4 linked regions of the Anolis sagrei genome follow. The protein of the gene in region 2 interacts with the protein of the main gene of each other region in a pairwise test. Links are inferred from orthologs where the notes say so. Each region holds a gene or a part of one and is shown on either strand. Other genes may lie near its edges. The genes, in order: ZBTB43, AP1M1, TGOLN2 and RUNDC3A.

Region 1 (7,196 bases), on a different chromosome or scaffold from region 2:
GATTGATGTGGTGACAGACGGGTCAGGCCGAAGGGCCTTCACTGCCTTAGATTGGAGTGCCACCTGCTGTTTAGACTCCATAATGTTGAGTTTAAACTTTCTCAAGCTTTTGATGCTTTGGAGTTAGTTCCCGGTAAAGCATTGCTACTTGTTGGAATTTCAGATTTTGCTGTATTTTGCTACAACACGGCTATCGCTATCTATCTATCTATCTATCTATCTATCTATCTATCTATCTATCTATGTTATCCTAGATCAATGTTTCCCAACCTTCCTAATATTGCAACCCCAAAATACAGTTCCTCATGTTGTGGTGACCCCCAACCTTAACATTATTTTCGTTGCTACGTCATAACTGTAATTTCGCTACTGTTATGAATCGTCGTGTAAATATCTGATACGCAGGATGCTTTTTCATTCACCGGACCAAATACCCAATGCACCCAAATTTGAATACTGGTAGGGTTGGGGGGGGTGTGATTTTGTCATTTGGGAGTTGTAGTGGTTGGGATTTATAGTTTGCCTACAATCGAAGAGCATTCTGAACTCCACCAACAATGGAATTGAACCAAACTTGGCACACAGAACTCCCATGACCAACAGAAAATACTGGGTTTGGTAGGCATCGACCTTTATTATTATTTTATTATTATTTACTACTACCCGTCCCCTGCCACGCATTGCTGTGGCCCACATGGGGCTTCTGCGTAGAAGGTTTGGCCCAATTCTGTCATGGGTGGGGTTCAGAATGCTCTTTGATTGTAGGTGAACTATAAATCCCAGCAACTACAACTCCCAAATGTCAAGATTTTTTTTCTCCAAACTCCACCAGTGTTCACTTTTGGGCATATTGAGTATTTGTGCAGATCCATCATTGTTTGAGTCCACAGTGATATCTGGATGTAGGTGAACTACAACTCCCAAACTCAACGTCAATGCCCACCAAACTCTTGCAGTGTTTTCTGTTTATCATGGGAGTTCTGTGTCCCAAGATTGGTTCAATTCCATCATTGGTGGAGTTCAGAATGTTCTTTGATTGTAGGTGAACTATAAATCCCAGCAACTACAACTCCCAAATGACAAAATCATTTTTTTTTTTTTTAGTGAAGGACATACATTGGCCTGATAGGTGTCTTGTGTCCAAATTTGGTGTCAATTCCCCCAGTGGTTTTTGAGTTCTGTGAATACCACAAACGAACATTACATTTTTATTTATATAGATATTTGTATACCGCCCTTCTCAGCCCTTAGGTGACTCATGGCGGTTTACAGTGGCAATGATTTGATGCCCAAAAACACCATAGCACACTTAAAAACATTAACACATAATATATAACCATAGTAAGAATACTAAAAGCATACATCATTTACGTCTCCTAATGAAGACATTGTCCCATCTCGTCGTCCAGTCTTTCCAATTCTTTTGTTTTTTATCTTTAGTTTTGGAGTTGTAGTTCACCTACATCCAGAGAGCCCTGTGGACTCAAACAATGATGGATCTGGACCAAACTTGGCACAAATACTCAACATGCCCAAACATAAGAACATTGGTGGAGTTTGGGGAAAATAGAACTTGACATTTGAGAGTTGTAGTTGCTGGGATTTTTAGTTCACCTACAGATGGAGCCTTCTAATCAAGGTGAAAGAAAAAAGTGCAAAAGCTGGGCTGCAGCTAAACATCAAAAGAACCAAGATTATGGCAACAAGAATGATTGACAAATGGGAAATAGTGGGAGAAAATGTGGAGGCTGTGACAGACTTTGTATTTCTAGGTGAAAAGATGACTGCAGATGCAGACTGCAGCCAGGAAATCAGGAGACGCTTACTTCTTGGGAGGAAACCAATGTCCAATCTCGATAAAATAGTGAAGAGCAGAGACATCAGACTGGCAACAAAGATCTGCATAGTTAAAGCAATGGTATTCCCCATAGTCACCTATGGATGTGAGAGCTGGACCATAGGGAAGGCTGAGCGAAGGAAGAGAGATGCTTTTGAACTGTGGTGCTGGAGGAAAGTTCTGCGAGTGCCTTGGGAGTTTAAGTCCAAAACACTTGGAGGGCCAAAGATTGCCCAGACCTGCTCTACACTGTAGGATCAATGCAGTTTGACACCCCTTGGACTGCCATGGAATAATGGCTGTTGTGGTTTGGTGTGGCACCAGCATCCTTTGGCAGAGAAGGCGAACGAACCTTGTAAAACAACAACTGCCAGGATTCCATAGCACCGAGCCATGGCAGTTCAAGTAGGGTCAAAACAGCATGAATTCTACAGTGTAGATGCACCCGCTGTCATTATCTCGGCCACCCATTTTGCCATCGTGTTCATTCACCTCCCAGATCCATCTCGGTTGTCCGCTGCGTGGCCTGAGTCAGCAAGACAGTTCTTGTGCGGCTGTGATTGATCAAAAATCCTAAGAATGCTTGCCTGACTTCACAGAGGCCTCATTTCCAGCGGTGTGTTCACTTGCAGGACGTGTCACGAACAAGCCGTACAGAAGCCTCGCTTTGCCTGGGGAGGAAGGAGAAGCCTTGCATCTGGAGGAAGCGCTCCTCACGCACAGGTGAACCCAAACTCTCAGTTCTGTGCAGGGTCTCACCAAAGCCAAATACAGATCAAAGGCTGCTTTTGAACTCTCTCCAAGCACAACCCTTTGGCATCCCTACCACTTCATCACATTCTTTAAATACTACTGAGCCACCCATTTAAGAAACGGAAAGCTACTGTGTTCATCACGTAACATAGGTTTCAAGTGTAGGGTAGAGATACGAGGGTTGAATGAAAAATAATGCCTCCACCTTCGTAACTTCTCAACAGATGTCAGTGCTGGTATTCGGCAGGTACTGGCTTGTTCAGTAGACTCTCCTCTACGGCAGGTACTGGCTTGTTTAGTAGACTCTCCTCTACAATTCCATTTTGGCGGGAAGCCTTAGCATTGAATGGTTGTGTTTTTAAAATGCGAAGTGTGGAACCCTGCGCAGACAGTCTGTCAATGCTGCGCCACAGTCCTGGTGTGAATGTTGCCATTGGCCAGCTTGATTAGCATTGAATGGCCTTGCAGCTTCAAAGCCTGCCTGGTTGCTGACTGGGGGGAAGCCTTTGTTGGGGGGTGTTAGCTGGTCCTGATTGTTTCCTGTCTGGAATTCCCCATTTTTCTGTGTGTTGCTCTTTATTTACTGTCTTGATTTTAGAGTTTTTAAAATATTGGTAGTCAGATTTTGTTCATTCTCATGGTTTCCTCCTTTCTGTTGAAATTGTTCACACATTTGTGGATTTCATTGGCTTCTTACATACTCTGTTATTTACTTATTTATTTACGGCATTTATATGCCGCCCTTCTCACCCCGAAGGGGACTCAGAGCGGCTTACAATATATAATTCCATACAATATAGTATATAATTAGTATAGTACAATATCAGTATTAGATATTACTATATTGCACTATACCATTATATTGTAATATTATTAGTAATATTACATGTAATGTAAATATATAATTATAATATTGTATTATTATTGCTAGTATTATATTGTATTACATTATAATATTATAAATATTATAAGTGTATACAATATACTATATTATATTATTAGTAAAGACAAGATGGAAATGTCTTCTGCTCCCCTCTGCCTTTGCTCTGGCCAGTACTCTATGCAAAAGTACACTCTAAAATTGCAACAGCACAACAACAGAGAGGAAGCAGGCTGGGACATCTAATTACCTCTCAACAAAAGTTTGCTCCAGGCACAGTCAGGCCATTGTATGCTAATCAAGGTGGTCAGTTGAAACATTCACACCTAGCTCCAGCAGACAAGAGTCCTTTGTCTCACCCTGGTCATTCCACAGATATATAAACCCTTTTTCCTAGTTCCAACAGGCCTCACTACCTCTGAGGATGCTTGCCATAGATGCAGGCGAAACGTCAGGAGAGAATGCCTCTAGACCATGGCCATACAGCCCGAAAAACCCTACAACAACCCAGTACACCATCCTTCCAGGATTCCATAGCTTTTGAGCCCCGGCTATTGAAAACAATGGCATCCAATTGCACTCATTCATTCATTCTACAGTGTGGCAATACCACAGACAACCAAAAGGGGGCGTCAACCAGGAAGTGCACCTCTGCTTGTATAGATCTATCATGCAAGTCTGTGGTTAACTCTAAAGGCGGAAGCGGATGTGGCGGGGCTAGAAAACCGGAAGAAGGAAGAGACTAGGACTTCCGGGCCTGAGTGGTGGGCTGGTGGAGGCGAAGCCTGAGGGGCTCGCCCGCCATGTGAGGCAGGAGCGCTTCGCCGAGGGCCTTGCCTTTCAGAGAGGTGAGGCTTGGCTTGGGCTGAGGATAGGGAAGGAGGGGGAGAGGGGAAAGAGGTGGGGCTTGCCCTGGGGGCATCTGCACTGTAGGATTGACGCGGTTTCATAGAATCACAGCATAATAAACTCGGAAAAGACCACATGGGCCACCTAGTCCACCCCCCTGCTATGTAGGAAAGGCACCATCAAAGCACCCCTGACAGATGGCCATCCAGCCATAATGATGATGATATTAGAGTTGGAAGAGACCACATGGGCCATCTAGTCCAACCCCCTGCTATGCAGGAAAGGCACAATCAAAGTAACCCTGACAGATGGCCATCCAGCCATAATGATAATGATAATAGAGTTGGAAAAAACCACATGAACCATCTAGTCCAACCCCCTGCCCTGCAGGAAAGACACAATCAAAGCACCCCTGACAGATGGCCATCCAGCCATAATAATAATGATGGTGATGACATAGTTGGAAGAGACTACATGGGCCATCTAGTCCAACCTCTTGTCCTGCAGGAAAGGAACAATCAAAGAAGTCCCTGACGGATGGCCATCTGGCCATAATTATGATGATGATGATGATGATAGAGGTGGCACAATCAAAGCACTCCTGACAGATGACCATCTGGCCATAATTATGATGATAATAATAATAATAGAGGTGGCACAATCAAAGCACTCCTGACAGATGGCCATCCAGCCATGATGATGATGATAGAGGTGGCACAATCAAAGCATTCCTGACAGATGGCCATCTGGCCATAATTATGATGATAATAATAATAATAATAATAATAGAGGTGGCACAATCAAAGCACTCCTGACAGATGGCCATCCAGCCATGATCATGATGATGATGATAGAGGTGGCACAATCAAAGCACCCCTGACAGATACCATGCAGCCATAGTAATACTGATAATGACCATTCAGCAATAATAATAATAATAGAGTTGGAAGAGAACACGTGGGCCATATAGTCTAATCTCCTGTCATGCAGGAAAAACACCATAAAAGCATCCCTGACAGATGACCACCCAGCCATAGTAATACTGATAATAGAGTTGGAAGAGACCACATGGACTATGTAGTCCGACCCCCTGCCATGCAGGAAAAGCACCATCAAAGCACCCCTGACAAATGGCCATCCAGCCATAATAATAATAATAACAACAATAGAGTTAGTAGAGACCACATGGGCCATCTAGTCCAACCCCCTGCCATGCAGGAAAAACCCAATCAAAGTACCCCTGACAGTTGGCCATCCAGCCATAATAATAATATGGCAGCTAAAGTATCAAACAGTATTAATTATATGGTATAAATTCTCCTACAGACTCAGCAATCCTTATCTGGGAATCCAAAATGTACCATAATCTGAAATTGTTTGTGTGCTCTATCAGTTGCTCTTCTGAACTGCAACAGACCTTGTAAGGAGCAGGGTGACCATGTTGTTATTGTTGTTGTTGTCTTGAGCAGAGAATAGATTGGTTGTTTGCCCTGTGAAAGAGAAGAAATAAATCCTCTTCTATCATGACTTTCCTATGAATTACAAATTGGAACATAAAAAGAAATATGTTGGACGTGTTCCACTATTTTCATCATGACCAGCGATGAACAGCCCAAAGGCAGAGCATGAGGGCAACAGCAGACTCCTCTTACATTCCTGAGAACTGATAACGTTTTCCTAAGGGGAAGTCTGGCTGGTCATGAGAGGGAGAAAACAAATCACAGCCCTGCTTTCCTATTCGTGAACTAAATATTGTCTTTCCTTGCAGTCTGCTGATGAAATGGAGCCTGGGACCAATTCTTTCAGAGTGGAGTTCCCCGACTTCTCCAGCACCATCTTGCAGAAGCTCAACCAACAACGCCAACAAGGGCAGCTGTGCGATGTTTCGATTGTTGTCCAGGGCCACCTCTTCAGAGCCCACAAAGCTGTCCTGGCAGCCAGCTCCCCTTACTTCTGCGACCAAGTGCTCCTGAAAAATAGCCGGAGGATCGTTCTGCCTGACGTCATGAACCCCAGAGTGTTTGAGAACATCCTCCTGTCGACCTACACGGGACGGCTGGTCATGCCCGCTCCGGAGATTGTCAGCTACCTCACAGCAGCGAGCTTCCTTCAGATGTGGCACGTCGTCGACAAATGCACGGAGGTTTTGGAAGGGAACCCGTCAGTGCTTTGCCAGAAGCTGAACCGTACCAGCGACCATCAGTCTCCAAGCAGCAGTAACTACAACGGCCTCGTGGAAAGCTTTGAGCAGGCTGACTTTCACAAAGTGCAGGAACTGCGGGATGGGGAGAACGAGGAGGAAAGTTCCAAGGATGAGCTGTTATCTCAACTAACAGAACATGAGTATCTTCCGAGCAATTCTTCAACGGAGCATGATGGGCTGAGCACAGGAATGACCAGCCAGGATGGGGAAGAAGGAGTGAGCGATAGTGCGGATTATCAATACACGAGGCCACTTTACAGCAAGCCGAGCATCATGTCTCACAAGCGGTGGATCCACGTCAAAACGGAGAGGTTTGTCCAGGACTGTGAAGCTGTGGAAGTGCATGGCCCTTACGATGAACAGCAGGTATCTGAGTCTGTAAACACTGTCCAGGCTGACCACAGTGTCCAGACCTCCGCTGCCGAAGATCTCCGCGTCGGCGAGAAAAAGGTGGAAAGGGAGTATGGTGAGCGAGCCAACGAAGGCAGTTACGACGAGCAAGTGGATTTCTATGGCTCCTCCATGGAAGAGTTTTCTGCGGAGAGGGCTGATGGGACTTTAAGCCTCCAGAGACAGGATGTGGCTGGTTATGGGGAAAGCGTAGATGCGACATCTGGGATCAAAGAGGAAAATGCCCTCTCTGGGTTTTCTACAGCTGACAAGCTTTACCCGTG
Region 2 (7,003 bases):
TGCCAGGAGGGGTTGGGTTGTGCTTTCCCTGCCGGGTGGAAAGAAAAGGTTGGACTGGGTGGCCTTTGGGGGTCCCCACCCAACCTTAGAATCCTATGAAATCGGATGTGTACCAGATCTGGAGTTTGATCTTTTTCCCATCGAGGTCAATTGTCCTGATCTTGAAGTCAATGCCTGCAAAAGAGAAGCGGGGTTACCATCTGGGGGATCTCACAGGGTGAGATCTTGTGTGGAGCCCCAGATTGAGGGAGATTATCAGCAGTCTTGTATCTCTTCCATTTCCTACGGTTGATGTCTTCACATCAAGCCGCTTGCCTATTGCAGTTTCAGTCTTCCCAGTCTGGTGCAGGGCGACAATTTTGTTTCTGGTGTCCTTCGACAGCTCTTTGGCCTTCACCAGAGTGGAGTCTGGAGTGTGACTGCTTCAGGTTGTGGACAGGTGTCTTTTAGACTGATAACAAGTTCAAATAGGTGCCATTACTACAGGAGGGCAGAGGAGCCTGTCTATGAGACCCAGAAATCTTGATGTTTGTAGGTTTTGTTTTTGTCGTGTCAGGAGCAACCTGAGAAACTGCAAGTCGCTTCTGGTGTGAGAGAATTGGCCATCTGCAAGGACATTGCCCAGGGGACGCCTGGATGATTTGATTTTTTTTCATCCTTGTGGGAGGCTTCTCTCATGTCCCCGCATGAGGAGCTGGAGCTGATAGAGGGAGCTCATCTGCCTCTCCCCGGATTCGAACTTGCGACCTGTCGGTCTTCAGTCCTGCCGGCACAGGGGTTTAACCCACTGCGCCACCGGGGGCTCCTATAATAACAATAATAATAATAATGGAAGAGACCCCCGTGTCTTCCAGCATCTGAATAATAATAATAGTAATAGTTGGAAGAGACCCCCAAAGGCCATCCAGCCTCTACATAATAATAATAATAATAATAATAATAATAATAATAATAATAATAACAACAACAATAATGGAAGAGACCCACGTGTCATCCAGCATCTAAACAATAATAATAATAATAATAGTAATAGTAATAGTTGAAAAAGACCGCTAAAGACCATCCGGTCTCTGCATAATAATAATAATAATAATAATAATAATAATAATAATAACCCACTGCGCCATCGGGGGCTCCATTGTTTGTAGGTGACCAAATACTTATTTTCCACCATAATTTGCAAATAAATTCATTAAAAATCAGACAATGTGATTTTCTGGATGTGTTTTCTCATGTTGTATCTCATAGGTCTACCTATGATGTCAATTACAGGCCCCCGGTGGTGCAGTGGGTTATACCCCTGTGCCGGCAGGACTGAAGGCCAACAGGTCGCAGGTTCGAATCCGGGGAGAGCACGGATGAGCTCCCTCTGTTAGCTCCAGCTATTCATGCGGGGACATGAGAGAAGCCTCCCACAAGGATGATAAAACAGCCAGGTTGTTAACAGGAGTGGCACTCAGGGAGCACACCACTCCTCTGTTGCGTCAACTCCACACAATTCCGGGCACAATTCAAAGTGCTGGCTTTAGCCTTTAAAGCCCTAAACGGTTCTGGCCCGACCTATCTGTCCGAACGCATCACCCCCTATGAACCAGTTAGGACATTAAGATCGTCCGGGGAGGCCCTGCTCTCGATCCCGCCAGCCTCACAGGCACGGCTGGCGGGGACGAGAGACAGGGCCTTCTCAGTGGTGGCCCCTCGGCTGTGGAACGCCCTTCCCGCAGACATTAGGTCGGCCCCCTCCCTGCTGACGTTCAGAAGAAGAGTGAAGACCTGGCTCTTTGAACAGGCGTTTAATTAAGCAGTGCAATTAACTGATTGATCTTGGAACTTGGAATAATGGACGAGGAAATCGGATTATGACTTTACTGATGAGACGTGATGAGTTAGTTATTATGGATGTATTGATGTTATATTGATGTATTGATGTGCTGTTATATTATTTATTTATTTATTTGCTTTATTTCTATACCGCATTTTTCAGCCCTTAACAGGCGACTCAATGCGGTTTACATGGTACAATTATCAAACAGTGTCAGTGCAATTAAAACATAACAATGGAACAAACAGGATCAACAGCATCAATCCACAACAGTTAACAATCAACAAGACAGATCAACAAAACAGACATAACATAACGCCTCAGTTGAAATCAGATCCGTTCTCATAATCCTTGTGCCATTCCTATGTTCCATTTACCGTCTTCCTATGATTGGTTGCACTGCTTAACCAAACGCTTGTTCATAAAGCCAGGTCTTAACCATTCTCCGAAACGTCAGCAGCGAAGGTGCCTGTCTGATGTCTGCCGGTAGGGGCCACCACTGAGAAGGCCCTGTCTCTCGTCCCCGCCAAGCGCACCTGTGACGCAGGCGGGATCGAGAGCAGGGCCTCCCCAGACGATCTTAATGTTCTGGTCGGTTCATAGGTGGAGATGCGTTCGGAGAGGTAAGCAGGGCCAGAACCGTTTAGGGCTTTATAGGCTAAAGCCAGCACCTTGAATTGTGCCCGGTAGCGGATTGGCAGCCAGTGGAGCTGGTTCAGCAGAGGAGTGGTATGCTCCCTGAGTGCCGCTCCCGTTAGCAACCTGGCCGCCGAGCGCTGGACCATCTGAAGCTTCCAGGCAGTCTTCAAGGGCAACCCCACGTAGAGCGCGTTGCAGTAATCAATCCGGGATGTAACCAGAGCGTGGACTACCGTGGCCAAGTCAGACTTCCCAAGGTACGGGCGCAACTGGCGCACAAGTTTGAGTTGTGCAAATGCTCCCCTGGACACCGCCGAAACTTGGGGTTCCAAGCTTAGCGAAGAGTCCAGGATCACACCCAAGCTGCGAACCTGCGTCTTCAGGGGGAGTGTAACCCCGTCTAACACAGGCTGTAACCCTATACCCTGTTCGGCCTTGATGTAGTTGCCTTAGTTACTGTTTTTAAATGCTAGTGTTGTGCACTTTGTATATTGACCTGGTTGTAAACCGCACTGAGTCGCCTACGGGCTGAGAGAGTGTGGTATACAAATAAAGTAAATAAATAAAACATCAAAAAATCATCCAGGCATCCCCTGAGCAACGCCTTTGCAGCCGGCCAATTCTCTCACACCAGAAGCGACTTGCAGTTTCTCAGGTTGCTCCTGACAGGACGAAAAAAAATACAGGCCTCTCTCATCTTTTTAAGTGGGAGAACTTGTACAATTGGTACCTGACTAAATACTTCCCCCCTCCCTGCATATATATATATATATATATATATATATATTCTCAGTTATCCAGGGAAACCCTCAAGCAACTGACAAAAAAACCTACATCAAAGACAGAATGCTTCCAATGCATCACTTTCAGAATACACTAAACCAGTAAGAAGCCTGTTGCATCCAGCTTGCCCTAACCAAGCGCAGAGTGGATGCCCTGGGAGATGGTCCAGCATGAGGCCTACTTGGAGCCCATTCTCCCCTCAACCGGAAGAGGAGCCCTACTGCTCTCCAGCTAGAAGGTGGGCGTTCGTTGCCATGGCGACCGGGAGGTGGGTCCGGGGCGTCGCCATAACAACCCCTCCCTCCCCTCCCTCAATCCCACCGGTTGCCTGGCAACGACGCACCGATGGTGGAAATGAACGTGGCGTTGAAGGCGTCCTCGCTGAAGCGGAAGAGCGCGCACGTCTTGCCCACGCCGGAGTCGCCGATCAGCAGCAGCTTGAAGAGGTAGTCGTAAGTCTTCGCCATGTCTTCCTAGGCCTGCGAGGAGCCGCCGCGGCTCGCGATAGGCCCACGTCGCTGTCCGTCAGAACGCGCCGGACTCCCATTGGCTTGGCCGTTCGCCGGCGCACTCCTCCTCGAGCAGGAAGAGTGGGGAAACTTGTGATTGGCTGCGTCGGCGCTAACGTCCCGCCCATTGGCTAGAGAAACTTGCAATTGGTCCGTGCGCTGGATGACGTCAATAAGGAATGAGGCTTGTCCGCTCTAGAGTGGGGAAACTTGCGATTGGTGCGTGCGCTGGCTGACGTCACGGTGTGGTCCGCCCGTTGCTTGTCTGGCCGGAAGCGGAAAAGGAGCTCCGGCGCCTGCCGCGGATCCAAGATGTCCGCCAGCGCCGTCTACGTGCTGGACCTGAAGGGAAAGGTGAGGTTTCCTCTCTTCACCATTCTTCTTCTTCTTTTGTGATTGTTATTAGGTGTACTTGGCTTTGGACCTGCCTTGTAACCTGTCCTTCTAGGCTGGCTGTACTGTTATGGCAGATGAGGAGAAACGGGTTTTAGTTGGGGCCTTTCCCCCTTCCGTTGCCTTAATTCGCTCTACGAAAGCTGACTGGCACAACCTGGGAATCACAACCAGATACAGTGAAGGCATCTGCCCTTGCGCTTTGCTACACAGCTGCTGATTATTTATTTTATTTTATTTATTATTTAAACTTATATGCCGCCAATCCCCTGGGGCTCGGAGCGGCTTACAAGAATAGCTAAAATCTAACAAAGTTTAAAAGCAATTTAAAACAATTTAAAAACAACAGTATCAAACATTAAAAGCCTGTTGAAACAGGTATGTCTTACATGCTCTGCGGAAAGCTGGTAAGTCCCGCAGGGCACGAACTTCAGGTGGCAGAGTATTCCAGAGTGATGGGGTAACTGCTGTAAAGGCTCTGCATCTGGTTGCTGTTAGACGCAAGGTCTTGACACTGGGGGCTTCCAATAGATCTTGGTCCTCAGAACGGAGGGATCTCTGGGGTTGGTAGGGGGTGAGGCGGTCCCTCAGGTACATTGGCCCCAGACTATGCAAGGCCTTAGAGGTGAGTACCATCACTTTGAAAGTGATCCGGTGCTCAATTGGTAACCAATGCAGCTGCAGTAAGATTGGAGTTATGTGGCATCTCATCAGAATTCCCGCAAGAAGCCGAGCAGCTGCATTTTGTACCAACTTGAGCTTCTGAATCACCAACAGAGGGAGGCCAATGTAGAGGGTGTTACAGTAGTCCAGTCTTGAGATGACCGTGGCCTGGATCACCGTAGCTAGGTCGTCCCTGGACAGGTAGGGGGCCAGCCGTCTAGCCTGCCGCAGGTGAAAGAAGGCGGTTCTGCTCACGGCGGAGACCTGGGCCTCCATTGTCAGCAGAGGGTCCAAAAGGACTCCCAGACTCTTTACCAATGATGACGGGCGTAACGCCTCGCCATCCAAGGTGGGCAGATGGATGTCCCCACTGCCCGGTCCACCCAGCCATAGGATCTCCGTCTTTGCTGGATTCACCCTCAACCTGCTGGCACGCAGCCATCCAGTAACAGCCTCGAGGCACTGATGGAAACAATCGGGTACAGAGTCCGGTCGGCCTTCCATCTTCAGCACCAGCTGAGTGTCATCGGCATACTGATAACACTCAAGCCCAAAACCTCGAACCAGCTGAGCAAGTGGTCGCATATAGATGTTAAACAACAGAGGGGAGAGAATGGCCCCCTGAGGAACCCCACAAGATAGAGGGGACCTCTCAGAGACCAGGCCTCCCCTCTCCACTCGCTGTCCACGGTTGTGAAGAAAGGAGGACAGCCAGTTTAAAGCTGCCCCCCTGACTCCAGCAACATCAAGGCGGTGGGTCAAGAGATTGTGGTCGACTGTGTCAAATGCTGCTGTGAGATCCAATAACACAAGCAGTGCTGACCCGCCCTGGTCAAGCTGGCATCGAAGGTGATCCATGATGGAGACCAGCACAGTCTCTGTCCCATGCCCCGCACGGAAGCCGACTGGAAGGGTTCTAGTCCGGCTGTGTCGTCAAGGAATTGCTGCAACTGCTCCGCTGCTGCCCTCTCAATCACCTTGCCCAGGAACAAGAGATTTGAAACTGGGCGGTAACTGGAGGGAACCGAGGGATCTAAATCTGGTTTCTTCAGCAAAGGAGAGACCACCGCCTCTTTTAAACCCTCTGGAAAGACTCCTTGCTCAAGGGAGCTGTTTATAATCTTCAACAGAGGGTCACGTGATCCCTCCAAGCAGGATTTCACCAACCAAGAGGGACACGGATCGAGGGAGCAAGTGGTCGGTCTAGCTGCAGCTATGAGCCTATCGACAGCCCCTGCATCCAGTGGGATGAACCGGTCGAGGATGGGCCCAGCAAGTGGCCACGGGGTCTCAACTGCATTCCCAGTGTGGAACACATCTCACAACTGCGTTGTTGTAGGCGTTTGGGGGCTATATGACCATGTTCTGGAGGCAATTTTTCTCCTGACGTTTCACCTGCATCTGTGGCAGTGGTTCTCAACCTTGCTAATGCCGTGACCCCTTAATGCAGTTCCTTATGTTGTGGTGACCGCAAACCATAATATTGTTTTCGTTGCTACTTGATACTTGTCATTTTACTACTGTCATAAATCATAATGTAAATATCCGATATGAGGATGGATTTTCATTAACTGGAGTAAATTGAGCACAAATACCCAATATGCCCAAATGTGAATGCTAGTGGGGTTGGGGAGGATTGATTTTGTAATTTGGGAGTTGTAGTTGCTGGGATTTATAGTTCACCTGTAATCAAAGAGCATTCTGAACTCCACCAGCGATGGGTTTAAACTGAACCTGGCACACAGAACTCCCATGACCAACAGAAAACCCTGGAAGGGTTTGGTGGGCATTGACCTTGAGTTTGGGAGTTGCAGTTCACCTACATCCAGAAGAGTGCTGTGGATTCATGCAATGATGGATCTGGACCAAACTTGGCATGAATACTCAATATGCCCAAATGTGAACACCGGTGGAGTCTGGGGAAATTGACCTTCACATTTGGGAGTTGTAGTTGTTGGGATTTACAGTTCACCTACAATCAAAGAGCTCCACTGGCTACCGATTAGCTACCGAGCCCAATTCAAAGTGCTGGCTTTGACCTTTAAAGCCCTAAACGGTTCTGGCCCTACATACCTATCCGAACGTATCTCGGCCTATCAGCCCACCAGGACCCTAAGATCTTCAGGAGAAGCCCTTCTCTCCATCCCGCCTGCTTCACAAGTGCGGCTTGCGGGAACGAGAGATAGGGCCTTTT
Region 3 (7,555 bases), on a different chromosome or scaffold from region 2:
TCTATCTTCTTGTTTTTTGTTCCCCCTCTTTCCTTGTGTGGATTGTGAAAAACTTAATAAAAATCATTAAAAAAAAAAAAAAGACATATAGAGAGGGATAGTTGAAATTCCTCTGCATGATACCTAAATCAACAGGGAGCAAGAGCAAGACAGCCGCAGATATGCTGGGATTGTTGAAATGCTTTCCAGTGCCATTCATGCAGCATTTGCAAACTGTCGTTGCTACTCCCCTTTACAGTTTCACTTTTCTGTAAATCCCTGACTATTGGTCTTGCCGGCTGAGACTTCTGGCAGCCCCAGAAGTCGAAAATAAAACATTGTTGTGACATTTATAAAATAAATAAATGCTTATTCAGAGATGATGATGTTGTCGCAACTCAGGATAGATTCACCTTGCTCAGAACAACACCACACACCAAGGCTGTAGGTTTTGTAGTTTATTGAAGAAAAACAAAATCATAAATGTAGAAATAAGGTTGCAAAAGTTCAATAGCCAAAACAGAGTCTCAACTGCAAAGGCAGAGTTTCCAAGGTCCAAAGGCAAATAGCATGAAGTATTATCCACAAGTACTGGTCAAACAAGAATCCATGGCAGCACGAATCGTAATGTAAATATCTGATGTGCAGGATGTATTTTCATTAATTGGACCAAATTTGGCATTAATACCTGATACGCCCAAATCTGAACACTGATGGTTTGGGGGGGGGGGGGGATTGATTTTGTCATTTGGGAGTTGTAGTTGCTGGGATTCATAATTAACCTACAATCAAAGAGCATTCTGAACTCCACCAGCGATAGAATTGAACCAAACTTGGCACACAAAACTCCCACGACCAGCAGAAAATAGATCTGGACCAAACTTGGCACGAATACTCAATATGTCCAAAAGTGAACACTGGTGGTAACTGGGGAGAATAGACGGCATTTTAGAGTTGTAATTGCTGGGATTTATAGTTCGCCTACAATCAAAGAGCATTCTGAACTTCACCAGCAATGGAATTGAACCAAACTTGGCACACAGAACTCCCATGACCAACAGAAAAAATTTGAAGGGTTTGGTGAGTGTTGGCCTTGAGTTTTGGAGTTGTAGTCCACCTACATTCAGAGAGCACAGTAGACTCAAACAATGATTAATCTGGACAAAACTTGGCACAAATACTCAATATGCCCAAATGTGAACACTGATGGAGCTTGGGGAAAATTTACCTTGACATTTGGGAGTTGTAGTTGCTGGGATTTATAGTTCACCTACAATCAAAGAGCATTCTGAACCCCACCAACGATAGAATTGGGCCAAACTTCCCATGCAGAACCCCCATAGCTTGAAGAGACTTGCTGGCGTGAGCCTCCCTCCAGCCCTGCACGCTCTCCCTCGGCCACACATACACAACACACTGCCACGTGCTGAGCACACCTACTCTCCTCTCCCTGCTTGGAGTCTCAAAAACAACCTTCTCCTTGGATGAGAGGTCGGCCAATCACAGCAGAGGAGTGCGGATTTGACCTCTGTTTCCAAAAAGGAAGAGGACAGGTGGAGAGATCTTCAGACTATCAATATGTTTTCTGTTGGTCTTTGGCGACCCCCCCCCCCCCCCCCGAAACCCTCTTGCAACCCCACGGGTCCTGACCCCCAGGTTGAGAAACACTGCCATAGAATGTCAAAACAGTCCAGTAGAAGAAGGTGACAGCAACCTCATACTGAACCAATCTTGCCAAGAAAACCCAATGATATGTTGGTTTTAAGGTCATCATCAATTGGAAATTATTTAGAGACACATAACAATAACAATGGTAGCGAACTAAGCTATTCCTCTTCTTTGGGCAAGGCTGGGGATAGAACAGATTGAACGAGGGGAATCCACCTCAATGAGATCACAAAAACCGACAATTTCCAAGCCATCAATTAATTTGTAAGAAGGATTTCATCCACGATTTTCATGATCTCAGAAGAAAAAAAATATGACGGAGACCACAAGATGGTGCTATGTGATAATTGTTTAGCTGAGTCTATTTCTAGAGACTTAAGGAGCTGACTTTTACAAACTTGGCAGACCTTACATGGCTGTCTGGAACAAGAGAGTTTTGCAGGCCGCCCAATTCACAGACATGCGAGGCGTTGTATTTCTCCTCCTTCACGCACAACAATCTTCCACTAGGGCTGATGTGCCTGGCCACAGACACCTGTAGTAGGTCTGGTAATATGTGTATCACCACCTGTCAATAATCTGTTTATGAAATTGCGACATTCTTGTCTCTTATTATACCTTCTCAGTACATTGCAAGGTGTGTTTTTGTAGTGATGTGTGCATGTTACCGTATATACCTGGCATTACTAAGGTATTGTTACACTACTGTCATGCCTTCTTTCTCACCCCTTCGCCCCCCCCCTTTTTTTATTTCCTTCTCTTTCTCCCTTCTCCAGCTCTTGAGAGGGCCTACCTCACAAGATCTCCATGGCAATGTGTCCCTCTTTATGGCTCTTTCCCCCATTCACTTTGTATGCCTCACAATTCTTTCCAAGTGACATTGCTGAGGGCCACTTCACCTACCGATAGCAAGGTCAGTGACATCGCAGAAGGCCAATTCACCTAGTAATAGCCAGGCCAGTGACACTGCAGATGGACACTTCACCTAGCAACAGCAAGGCCAGTGGTACCCCCGAGGGCCACTTCACCTAGCAACAGCCAGATCAATGACACTGCAGAGAGCCATTTCACCTAGCGACAGCCAGGCCACTTCACCTAGCAACAGCCAGACCAGTGACCTCGCAGAGGGCCACCTATCAACAGCCAGATCAATGACACTGCAGAGGGCCACTTCACCTAGTGATACCAGGCCAGTGACAATGCAGAGGGCCACTTCACCTAGCAACAGCAAGGCTAGTGGTACCCCAGAGGGCCACTTCACCGAGCAACAGCCAGATCAATGGCACTGCAGAGGGCCACTTCACCTAGCGACAGACAGGCCAGTGACACCAGAGGACCACTTCATCTAGCAACAGCAAGGCTAGCACCACCACAAAGGGCCACTTCACCTAGCAACAGCCAGACCAGTGACACCGCAGAAGGCCACCTAGTAACAGCCAGATAAATGACACTGCAGAGGGCTACTTCACCTAGCGACAGCCAGACCAGTGACACCGCAGAAGGCCACCTAGTAACAGCCAGATAAATGACACTGCAGAGGGCTACTTCACCTAGCGACAGCCAGACCAGTGACACCGCAGAAGGCCACCTAGCAACAACCAGGCCAGTGGCATCGGAGAAAGCCACTTCACCTAGCAACAGCTAAACCAGTGACACCGCAGAGGGCCACTTCACCTAGCAACGGGTTTTCAACTCTAATATATTACTTCAAGCAGAGTATCCTAGACAGTTGTGAAGAAAATGGATTCGTCGCTGAGCCTGGAGCCCCAGGTCTCGGCGGTGACCAGGGGAGCCTTTGCACAGCTAAGGCTCGTGCGCCAGCTGCGCCCGTACCTTGGGAAGTCTGACTTGGCCACAGTAGTCCACACTCTGGTTACATCCCGTTTAGACTACTGCAATGCTCTCTACGTGGAGGTGCCTTTGAAGACGGCCCGGAAGCTTCAATTAGTCCAACGTGCGGCAGCCATGTTACTAACAGGGGCGGGACGTAGGGAGCATAAAACCCCCTTGTTGTACCAGCTCCACTGGCTGCCAATTTGCTACCGGGCCCAATTCAAGGTGCTGGCGTTGGCCTATAAAGCCTTAAACAGTTCTGGCCCAAGATACCTATCCGACCGCATCTCGACCTATGAGCCCACCAGGACTTTGAGATCTTCCAGGGAGGCCCTGCTCTCGATCCCGCCTGCTTCACAAGCATGGCTGGCGGGGACGAGAGATAGGGCCTTCTCGGTGGTGGTCCCTCGGCTGTGGAACACCCTTCCCATGGACATCAGACAGGCTCCTTCCCTGTTGATATTCCACAGAAAATTAAAAACCTGGTTGTTCAAGAAGACGTTCGAACAAGAAGTGCAATGATTGGTAATGACTATAGGAATGGAATAACGGAAAATGATATTGGATTGTGGTTTAGACAATGAGACGATGCTGAATGGTTTCGTAGTAATGACAATGTTTTGTATAATGCTTTTTGTATGTTTTTTGCATAATGGTTTGAGAATTGTTTTTATACTGTGTTTTGTATTTTGTTCTTCCCATGTTGTACACCGCTGTGAGTCACCCTTGGGCTGAGAACAGCGGTATAGAAGCAAAGTAAATAAATAAATAAATAAAATGTGCTATTATCCTTGTGGCTTTATAGAATTTTAATATGAATTTCATTGGCCTTTAGAAGATGCACCCTCTCTCTCTATATATATAGCCATGAAGGAACCTGATGAGATGCTCAAGTGAAGAATCAAAGCATGTTACAGCACTCTAGTTCATTCGTAGCTCTAGGGCGCCTCATCGACGAAGCCCCGCCCCCTTCTCCTTCCCTCCCTTTCTGTGACAGGGCGCCTCCTATTCTCGCGAGAGTGGAGACCAGAGCTCGGGGAGTCTCCCTCGGCGGATGTGACGTGAACGGACTTCCTTTTCCCGTGTGGAGGTGTTGCGGGAAGCGGAAAAGAGTCTGGGCTTGGCCGGCATGGCGAGCGCGCGGCGGTGCCTCCTTCTGCTCTTCCTCCTCTTCCAAGTGGCCGCCTTCGGTGCCTCGGCGCCGCTGGAGCCCGGCGGAGGAGAAGCAGCAGCAGGAGGAGGAGGAGGAACAGGCGGCGGCGCGGAGGAAGCAGAGGCGGAGGAGGCCGCAAAGGAGGGCCCAGGTCAGAGCGCGAGGAGGTGGCTCTCGGGCCATGTTTCCCCCATGTTTCCCTGCCCTTCCCCTTTCGCTTCTCATCTCATCTCTAATTACTTATTAATCGCCCTCCATCCGAGATGCTCCAGGCGATTTACACTGCAGGAATTACACAGGATAAAACGCATACATACAAATATTAAAATTAACATGAGTCAAATGCTCCAGTAAAAAGCCAGGTCTTAAGCGCCAGGACAAAACGCCCCAAGTCGCGCATGGCTCGGAAATAGGGCGGCAAGGAATTCCACAAGGCAGGGGCAGAAATAGAGAAGGCCCATCTGCGTCTGGTGCTTTCCAAGCGCACTTCTCTAGGACCCGGTATATTGAGCAGATCGCGTTGGGATGGTCGTGGCGACCTCCGATGATGGTAGAAGGAGAGGCGGTCTCTAAGATACAATGGATCCTGGCCAAATAAAGTTTTAAAGGTCAGGACCAGCATCTTATACAAACCACGATGCTCAATTGGGAGCCAGTGTAGATGCCGCAGCACTGGTGTTATATGGCATTTCATGGGCGTTTTTGTGAGTAACCTGGCTGCAGCATTCTGAACAATACGGAGCTTTCGGGTCGTAGAAATAGGAAAGCCAACATACAAGGCGTTACAATAGTCTAGCCTAGATGTGACCGTGGCATGGATGACTGTTGCCAGAGCCTCATCCGACAGGTAAGGTGCCAGTTGCCTCGCTTGTCGTAGATGGAAAAAGGCCTGTTTGCTGGCAGCAGCAACCTGAGCCTCCATCGTCAGCTGCAAATTCAAAATGACACCTAGGCTCTTAACAGTAGGCAATGGAGATAGAGCAGCATCATCAAAGGCTTCTGTTCATTTCTGTGGCTGATGAGTCCACCATGAAAGTTCATCTCATATTTATTAATATACTACGGTAGTGTGTGTGTGTGTGTTATCTATCTATATAAATAAAAATTTAATGTTCGTTTGTGGGATTAACATAACTCAAAAACCACTGGGGGAATTGACACGAAATTTGGACACAATACACGTAACAGTCCAACAAGTGTCCATCATCCCTAAAACACACACAAACCCAGCGGAACAGACTTAAAAATCCAAAAAATACACCATATATACATATACAAATACACTCATATACATATACACATGCACTCATACACATGTGTGTGTGTGTGTATATACACATGCACACATACAGATATACATGCATATACATATACACATAAACACACACATATTCATATAGACAAGAACACACATATACAAAATATGCATGTCCACATATAAACAAACAAATACACAAATATATGCACATACATATACACATGCACACAGATATACATATATACATAAACACAGAAATATTCATATAGACAAGAACTCACATATACACATTATGCATGTACACATATAAACAAACAAATACACTAATATATGCGCACACACATATACAAAATATGCATGTACACATATAAACAAACAAATACACAAATATATGCACATATACATATACACAAATATTCATATAGACAAGAACACACATATACACAATATGCATGTACACATATAAACAAATACACAAATATATGCACACACACATATACATATACACATATATGCACACACACACATATATATATACAAACATCTATACACCCACACACACATATATATGGAAACACACATATAAACACAAATAGATACGAGTTGTAGTTTACCTACTACCACAGAGCACTGTGGACTCAAACAATGATGTATCTGGGCCAAACTTAGCACAAATATTCCAAATGCCCAAATATGAACACAGATGGAGTTTGGGGGAAATTGACGTTTCCATTTGGGAGTTGTAGTTACTGGGATTTATAGTTCACCTACGATCAAAGAGCATTCTGAACCCCACGAATGATAGAATTGGGGCAAACTTCCCACACAGAACCCCCATGACCAACAGAAAATACTTAAGGCCATCCAGTCCAACTCCTTTCACCAGAGCAAGAAAACATAATCAAAGCCCTCCTGACAAAGAGCCATCCAGCCATAAATATAGATAGATATGATTCACACACACACATATATACATATATGACAGATAATAGTATCATAGATTTGAAAGAGACCCCTGAAGAAGGACAGTTATATGTTGTATATTCCCTAGTAGGCAAACCAGACAATCTCTACATCAACACTAACAAAGAAACAACAAGAAATACTGTTTACTCACAAGTATCAAGACATTACATATATTAGAAACCAACACTTTCTCATTACTTTATTTTCCAGATCACCAGACTGGGCCACAGCAACGCATGGCAGGGAATGCCTAGTCTATATAAATAAAACTGTAATGTTCGTCTGTGGGATTAACATAACTCAAGAACCACTGGACAAATTGCTACCAAAATCAAAAAGCATTCTGAACCCCAGGAATGATAGAATTGGGAGCAAACATCCCACACAGAACCGCTATGACCAATAGAAAAGGCGATCCAGTCCAACTCCCTTCACCAGGGCACGAAAATATAATCAAATACTGTATACCCACAAGCATAAAGAAATTACATATATTAGAAACCAACACTTTCTCATTACGGTACTTTATTTTCCAAATCACCAGACTGGGCCACAGCAATGCATGGCAGGGGATGGCTATATACATATATATATACACACATACCTGGCACTGCCCGGGTGACATTGAGGCCGCTGTTTACCTACTTTCTCCCTTCTCCAGCTCTGAGAGGGCCAAGGTCGTCTCCATAGCAACGAGG
Region 4 (7,748 bases), on a different chromosome or scaffold from region 2:
ACAAGTTGAATAGGTTGGGTGAGAATATACAACCCTGCCATACGCCTATCGCAGTCTGTTTTTCCATGGTCAGTTCTTACTATTGCTACTTGGTCATTATACAGATTCCTCAGGAGACAGACAAGGTGGCTTTGTATCCTCATACCACCAAGAACTTGATCCACATTTTAGGAGATATTTATTGAAAAACTATTGCAAAATGTGCTGCAGATTTTTTTGCAGTTTAATAAACTTCCCCCATGTTTTTATGATAGAAACAATTAGGAAATGACATTTATAACCCAGGAAAAATGTGTTACATAATGTTATCCACTTTTGTCTATAATCTTTCCTCTCTGAAACACTGTTTTAGCATACGGTGCATCCATGTTTTTACCATGTTTTTATGATAGAAGCAATTAAGAAATGACATTTATAATTCAGGAACAAAAAGTGTGTTACATCATGGCAGAAGGAAATGGGATACTGTGTCATTATCTGGCCGGAGGCCACTAGGGGGTGCTAGAGAGAAAAGGATAGTCCATTTTATGGACATGGAGGGTGGGTTGAAGAAGGAAAACTACTTCCTCCTATTTTCCTGTTATTCCTTCAACCTATGTCCCTGTTGTGGAAAGGTTTATGAAATGGAAAGCAGGGAGGGGGAATCACCACTGAAAACAAGGGGAAATGGTTTTCCTCCTTCAACTCCTTCCCCCTGTAAAATGGACTATCTTTCTCTCTTTAGTGCCCCCTAGTGGCCTCCATCGGAATAATAAAACAGAACCTTAGATAGAACCAATTAGGAAATTGTATTTATAATCAGGAATAGAAATCATGTTACATAGGGCCCTTTCACACAGCCATAAGTAAAGGTAAAGGTTTCTCCTGACATTAAGTCCAGTCATGTCCAATTCTGGGGGTTGGTGCTCATCTCCATTTCTAAGCCGAAGAGCTAGTGTTGTCTGTAGACAACTCCAAGGTCATGTGGCTGGTATGACTGTATGGAATGCTGTTACCTTTCCACAGGAGTGGTACCTATTGATCTACTCACATTTGCATGTTTTTGAACTGCTAGGTTGGCAGAAGCTGGGCCTAACAGTGGGAGCTCACTCCACTTCCCGGATTCGAATTGCCAACCTTTCAAACTATGGACTTTTCAGTCAGCAAGTTCAGCAGCTCTGTGGTTTAACCTGGTGTGCCACCCGGGGCTCCCCATACAGCCATATAACCCAGAATATCAAGGTAGAAAATCCCACAATATCTGCTTTGAACAGGATTATCTGAGTCCACACTGCCACACTGCGGAGATTAAGATCCTCCGGGGAGGCCCTGCTTTCCTTTTCATTATTGTCACAGGCGCAATTGGTAGGGTTGAGAGACAGGGCCTTCTCGGTGATGGCCCCCTGGCTATGAAGCTCCCTTCCTGGTGAGATCAGGTCGGCCCCCTCCCTCCTGTCCTTCAGAAGGATGGTAAAAACTTGGCTGTGGGACCAAGGTTCAGGACAGGGCAATAAAGCAGCAGTAGGAAAGATTACCAGGCCAATTAGATTTGACACTAATGACCAGGATGGTTTTAAATTGTGTATTTTAATATTGAAATAAAAGTTTTTCATATTTATGTATCCGTATATGAATCCATGTCACAGCATTGAACGTTGGCCATATATGTGGTACAGCTGGCTGGGAGTCAGTTGTATTAAGATCAATACTGACAGAAAGGTCATGAGTTCGAAGCCAGCCCGGGTCGGAGTGAGCTCCCGACCAAAATTGTGTAGCTTGTTGTCGACCTTTGCAGCCCGAAAGACAGTTGCATCTGTCAAGTAGGAAATTTAGGTACCATTTATGTGGGGAGGCTAATTTAACTGATTTACGAAGCCATAAAAATCTCCAGGAAGTATGCAGAGAACGAGGAAGTACTTCATCAGTGTCACAAATGGACGGTGAAGTGACAGCTCACCTGGTGGCCAGTAGCTGGAATGTTAAGTAGCCTCTGAGTGTCTGTCTATATATGTTGTGTGTCTATGGCTCTTAATGAGACATGCCGCATTATCACGGGGTATCTGCGCCCTACACCACTGGAGAAATTACACTACTTAGTTGGTATTGCACCACCTGACATCTGCCGGGAAGTAGCAGCTAATAGTGAAAGGACCAAGGCAGAGACATCTCCAGCTCATCCCTTGTTTGGGTATCAGCCAGCATGTCAACGACTTAAATCTAGAAATAGTTTTCTAGGATCTACAGAGACACTCGCTGGAACACCTCAGCAAGCGAGAGTCCAAAAGTCCAAAACCCAGAACCTCAATCAATGGCTGATACCAAATGAGAGACTCCCCCCTGGGCACACAGAAAACTGGGCGACTTGGAAGGTGCTGAACAGACTGCGCTCTGGCACCACAAGATGCAGAGTCAATCTTAAGAAATGGGGATACAAAGTGGAATCCTCGACATGTGAGTGTGGAGAAGAGCAAACCACTGACCATCTGCTGCAATGCAACCTGAACCCCGCCACATGCACCATGGAGGACCTTCTTGCAGCAACACCAGAGGCACTCCAAGTGGCCAGATAATGGTCAAAGGACATTTAATCAACTCCCAAGCTTGCAAACTTTGTGGTTTTTTAAATTTGTTTGGTTGTTTTGTTCTGTTAGAAATGTAATACAATGGTCTGGTTGCCCCTAACACGATAAATAAATGGCACTGAATGTTTGCCATGTATATGCACATTGTAATCCGCCCTGAGCCCTCTGCGGGGTGAGAAGGGTGGAATATAAATACTGTAAATAAATATATAAATATGCTGTGCTCTTCCCTGAGTCCCCTTTGGGGTGAGCAGGGAGGAATATCAACGTTTTAAATAAATAAAATATATTCCAGTTCAGAGAGGATAATGTGGGATTTTATTCAGCTGTGTGGAAGGGTAGAAGAAAATGCTTTTTTTTACATCAAATGGCAAAATCAAGGTGTGGTTTTTTTGGGGGGGGGGGGTTTGGGTGGTGGAGGATAATATTTTCAATCTCTGGGTGGTTGGATCCGTGGATACAGAATCCGTGGATTCGAAGGTCCAACTGTATGAATGCCTGAAAAGAATGGGCAGGGAGGGATAACAGGGATGGCTCTTTTTCAAGGCATTGTTGTTGTTCATTCGTTTAGTCGTCTCCGACTCTTCGTGACCTCATGGACCAGCCCATGCCAGAGCTCCCTGTTGGCCGTCACCACCCACAGCTCCTTCAAGGTCAGCAGTCACTTCAATGATGCCATCCATCCATCTTGCCCTTGGTTGGCCCCTCTTCCTTTTGCCTTCCACTTTCCCCAGCATAATTGTCTTCTCTAGGCTTTGCTGTCTCCTCACGATGTGGCCAAAGTACTTCAGCTTTGTCTCTAGTATCCTTCCCTCCAGTGAGCAGTTGGGTGTTATTTCCTGGAGGATGGACTGGTTGGATCTTCTCGCAGACGAAGGCACTCTCAGAACTTTCCTCCAACACCACAGCTCAAAAGCATCGATCTTCCTTCGCTCAGCCTTCCCTAAGGTCCAGCTCTCACATCCGTAGGTTACTACAGGGAATACCATGGCTTTGACTATGCGGATGTTTGTTGCCAGTGTGATGTCTCTACTCTTTACTATTTTATCGAGATTGGACATTGCTCTCCTCCCAAGAAGTAAGCGTCTTCTGATTTCCTGGCCACAGTCTGCATCTGCAGTAATCTTTGCGCCCAGAAATACAAAGTCTGTCACGGCCTCCACGTTTTCTCCCTCTATTTCCCAGTTGTCAATCCTTCTTGTTGCCATAATCTTGGTTTTTTTATGTTTAGCTGCAACCCAGCTTTTGTGCTTTCTTCTTTCACCTTGATTAGAAGGCTCCTCAGCTCCTCCTCACTTTCGACCATCAGAGTGGCGTCATCTGCATATCTGAGGTTGTTAATGTTTCTTCCAGCCATTTTCACCCCAGCTTTGCATTCATCCAGCCCCGCACATCGCACGATGTGTTCTGCATACAAGTTTAAAAGGTTGGGTGAGAGGATGCAGCCTTGCCGTACGCCTTTCCCAATCTTGAACCAGTCTGTTGTTCTATGGTCAGTTCTGACTGTTGCGACTTGGTCCTTGTACAGATTCCTCAGAAGAGAGACAAGGTGGCTTGGTACGCCCATCCCACCAAGAACTTGCCACAATTTATTATGATCCACACAGTCAAAGTTTCAAGGCATTGGACATCCTTTATTGAAAGCTGCCTTCTGATGGATTGGATTATAACTCCCATACATCCCCCCACAATCAAGAATCATGGGAGTTGTAGTCTGATCCCTTTCCTCTCCCTCGATCCCTTCCTGTCTCCCCCTCCCTCCCTTTCCCAACTCCTTCCCATCACCAGCCATGACGTCACCGGCCTCCAAAGGGAGGGGGCTGCTTCCTCTTCGAGGAAGGAGGAGGGCCGGCTTTTCAATCAGCACCAAGGAGAGCTCCTCCCGGCCTGCCCTCCTCCCTCTCTCCCCCCGCCCTCCCTCCCTTTCCTGGTCCTCCTCCGACCCCGATCTCCTCTTTGGCGGCTTTCCCAGCACCCCCTTCCCTCCCCACCGCCTCCCTTGATCCCTCCAAGAAAGGGGGCTGGAGCTAATTTTAGGACGAGAGAGAGGAGGCCGATACTTCCGAGCCATCCGATCTTGGGGGAGGCTCACCCAACGCCTCGTCTTCTGGGGGAGGGCGGGAAGGAGGGGCCGGGGGAGGGGAGGGGGTGGTGGGGAGGAGGAGGAGGAGGAGGGAAGAGGGGGAGGGGGAGGGGAGGGGGAGGAGGAGGAAGAGGAAGGCAAGCGGGTGGTAGCGGCGCCCGGCCGATCCAGAAGATCCCTCCCCTGGATGGAACCCAGCTGCCTCCAGTCCACCATGGCGCTGGGGCTCTCCTCCAAGAAGGTCTCCTCCCGGAACATTGCGGTGGAGAGGAAGAACCTCATCACCGTCTGCAGGTAAGGGGTCAGCTGGGAGTCTTTGTATATATATCTATATCCTATCTATCTATCTATCTATCTATCTGAGAGGAGCTGTATCTCAGAGGGTCCACCTTAACCATTTCAAGCCATGGTTGACCATTCACACCCAGAACATCTCAGCCAGATCCATGCACATACATAACTACATACATACATATATATAGTTATGTGTAGTTATGTATGCATGGATCTGGCTGAGATGTTCTGCATATGAATGGTCAACCATGGCTTGGAATGGTGAAGGTGGACCCTCTGAGATACAGCTCCTCTCTTAAGATTAGAGGAACAAATCTGGAAGGACATCAGTATAGTATGGAAGGCTAAATATATATCTATATTATATGTATGTATTTATATATTTATGTATGTTTAGATAAAAGATCTGGCTGAACTGGGTGTCCCCGGTTCAAGGAAATGGTTAACCACGGTGAAGGTGGACCCTCTGAGATACAACTCCTCTCTTAAGATTAGAGGAACAATTGTGGAAGGACATCGGCATAGTATGGAAGGCTAGATATATATACATACATGTATGTGTGTATGTATGTATGGATCATAGATGTGGCTGTTCCCAGTTCAAGGAAATGGTTAACCACGGTGAAGGTGGACCCTCTGAGATACAACTCCTTTCTTAAGTTCAGAGAAACTATCCAGAAGGACATCAGCATAGTATGGAAGGCCATGTGTGTGTGTGTGTGTTTGTATGTTTGGATCTGGTCATGGATCTGGCTGAACTGGGCATCCCCAGTTCAAGAAAATGGTCAACAATGGCATGGCATGGTGAAGGTGAACCCTCTGAGATACAGCTCCTCTCTTAAGATTAGAGGAACAATTATGGAAGAACACTGGCATAGTATGGCAGGCCATATATATATATATATGTGTGGATCTGGTCGTGGATCTGTCTGAACTGGGTGCCCCCGGTTTAAGGAAATGGTCAACCATGCCTTGGCGTGGCAAAGGTGGACCTTCTGAGATACAGTTCCTCTCTTAAGATTAGAGAAACAATCCGGAAGGACATTGGCATAGTATGGAAGGCTAGATATATATCTATATATCTATATTATATGTATGTATTTATTTATGTATGTTTGGATAATAGAACTGGTGTCCCCAGTTCAAGGAAATGGTCAACCACAGTGAAGGTGAACCTTCAGAGATACAGCTCCTCTCTTAAGCTTAGAGAAACAATCCAGAAGGACATTGGTATAGTATGGAAGGCCACGTATATGTGTGTGTGTGTGTGTGTGTTGATCTAATGATGGATCTGTCTGAATGGTGTGCCTCCGGTTTAAGGAAATGGTCAACCATGGCTTGGCATGGCGAAGGTGGACCTTCTGAGATACAGTTCCTCTCTTAAGATTAGAGGAATAATTCTGGAATGACATCAGCATAGTATGGAAGGCCATGTGGTGTCTGTGTGTGTGTGTGTGTGTGTGTATTTATGTATGTTTGGATCTAGTCATGGATCTGGCTGAATGGATGGCCCCAGTTCAAGGAAATGGCCAACCATGGCTTGGAATGGCAAAGGTGGACCTTCTGAGATACAGCTCCTCTCTTAAGATTAGAGGAACAATTCTGGAAGGACATTGGCATAGCATGGAAGGCTATATATATGTGTGTATTAATGTATGTGTGGATCTGGTTGTGGATCTGGCTGAACTGGGTGTCCTCAGTACAAGGAAATGGTCAACCATGGCTTGGAATGGCAAAGGTGACCCTCTGAGATACGGCTCCTCTCGTAAGATTAGAGAAACAATCCGGAAGGACGTTAGTATAATATGGAAGGCTATAGATGTATTTATGTATGTTTGGATCTCATGGATCAGGCTGGATGGGTGTCCCCACTTCAAGGAAATGGTCAACCTTGGCGTGAAATGGCAAAGGTGGAACCTCTGAGATAGAGCTCCTCTCGTAAGATTAGAGAAACAATCTGGAAGGACATCAGCATAATATGGAAGGCTATTTATGTATGTTTGGATCTCATGGATCTGGCTGAATGGGTGTTCTCAGTTTAAGGAAATGGTCAACCATGGCCTGGCATGGTAAAGGTGGACTCTGAGATACAGCTCCTGTCTTAAGATACCTGTCAGGTTAGAGAAAACAATCTGGAAGGGCATTGACATAGTATGCCATTTGGAAAAAAAATAGAAGGGAGCATCAAGGTGAGATAAGGGAGCAAGCTCAAAGCTGAAAGGTGGAAGAGTGGGTAGACTCAGGCCAAAGGTAACTGGAGTCAACATGAGATGCTCTGTTGTGATCCATGTTTCAGAGAAGGCTTGGTGTAATCCACATGTGTGATACGCAAGGCCCATGGGCCGAATCCACCCTCTGTATCCTTTTCTGTGCCCCTCCTCCAGAGGCTGGATTCTAACTCCTGTATTCCTCATCATGATGGGAGCTGTAATACAATAGCATCCGGAAAGCTTCCATTTGTACTGTGTAGTCAGAATAATGGACTAGATTATACAAAACTTGTGGATATGGTGCCTGACTTTAAAATGCCCTTTAGCCTTTTCTCAGCCTCAGAGCCACATGTGCTGTTGGGTTGCGAGTCCCATTATACCCAGTCCTCATGGCATATAATCAAAAGTGATGAGAGTTGTTGTTCAGTAACACCTGAGAACCCAAACTGGGTAAAAATTAGAGTACTGACCACTATGTTATATATATAAAATTAGAGTACTGACCACAATGTTATGTGTGTGTGTGTGTGTGTATGGATTCAATGGCTCTTTGAAGGCAACCATAAGGCGGATGTGGTCCTCCATGAAAATGAGTTTGAC

The links.
Region 1: the proteins of AP1M1 (region 2) and ZBTB43 interact in binary tests that used the Homo sapiens proteins (3 or more experiments, as listed by UniProt). The two-hybrid records come from large-scale screens. The link is inferred for Anolis sagrei from reciprocal best matches to the Homo sapiens genes AP1M1 and ZBTB43.
Region 3: the proteins of AP1M1 (region 2) and TGOLN2 interact in a two-hybrid assay, tested with the Homo sapiens proteins (2 studies listed by BioGRID). The link is inferred for Anolis sagrei from reciprocal best matches to the Homo sapiens genes AP1M1 and TGOLN2.
Region 4: the proteins of AP1M1 (region 2) and RUNDC3A interact in binary tests that used the Homo sapiens proteins (3 or more experiments, as listed by UniProt). The two-hybrid records come from large-scale screens. The link is inferred for Anolis sagrei from reciprocal best matches to the Homo sapiens genes AP1M1 and RUNDC3A.

Annotation. Positions count from the first base shown.
Region 1 is NC_090031.1:7,991,892-7,999,087, forward strand, and holds the start of ZBTB43 (zinc finger and BTB domain-containing protein 43), read left to right. Parts: upstream 1-4,195; 5' UTR 4,196-4,318; intron 4,319-6,087; 5' UTR 6,088-6,099; coding exon 6,100-7,196. UniProt on the Homo sapiens protein: May be involved in transcriptional regulation.
Region 2 is NC_090034.1:59,407,815-59,414,817, reverse strand, and holds the start of AP1M1 (AP-1 complex subunit mu-1), read left to right. Parts: upstream 1-4,003; 5' UTR 4,004-4,065; coding exon 4,066-4,107; intron 4,108-7,003. Other genes in the region: RAB8A (ras-related protein Rab-8A), read right to left, coding at 114-174, 3,588-3,711. UniProt on the Homo sapiens protein: Subunit of clathrin-associated adaptor protein complex 1 that plays a role in protein sorting in the trans-Golgi network (TGN) and endosomes.
Region 3 is NC_090027.1:16,335,488-16,343,042, forward strand, and holds the start of TGOLN2 (trans-Golgi network integral membrane protein 2), read left to right. Parts: upstream 1-4,537; 5' UTR 4,538-4,609; coding exon 4,610-4,784; intron 4,785-7,555. UniProt on the Homo sapiens protein: May be involved in regulating membrane traffic to and from trans-Golgi network.
Region 4 is NC_090026.1:44,452,633-44,460,380, reverse strand, and holds the start of RUNDC3A (RUN domain-containing protein 3A), read left to right. Parts: upstream 1-4,745; 5' UTR 4,746-4,831; coding exon 4,832-4,938; intron 4,939-7,748. UniProt on the Homo sapiens protein: May act as an effector of RAP2A in neuronal cells.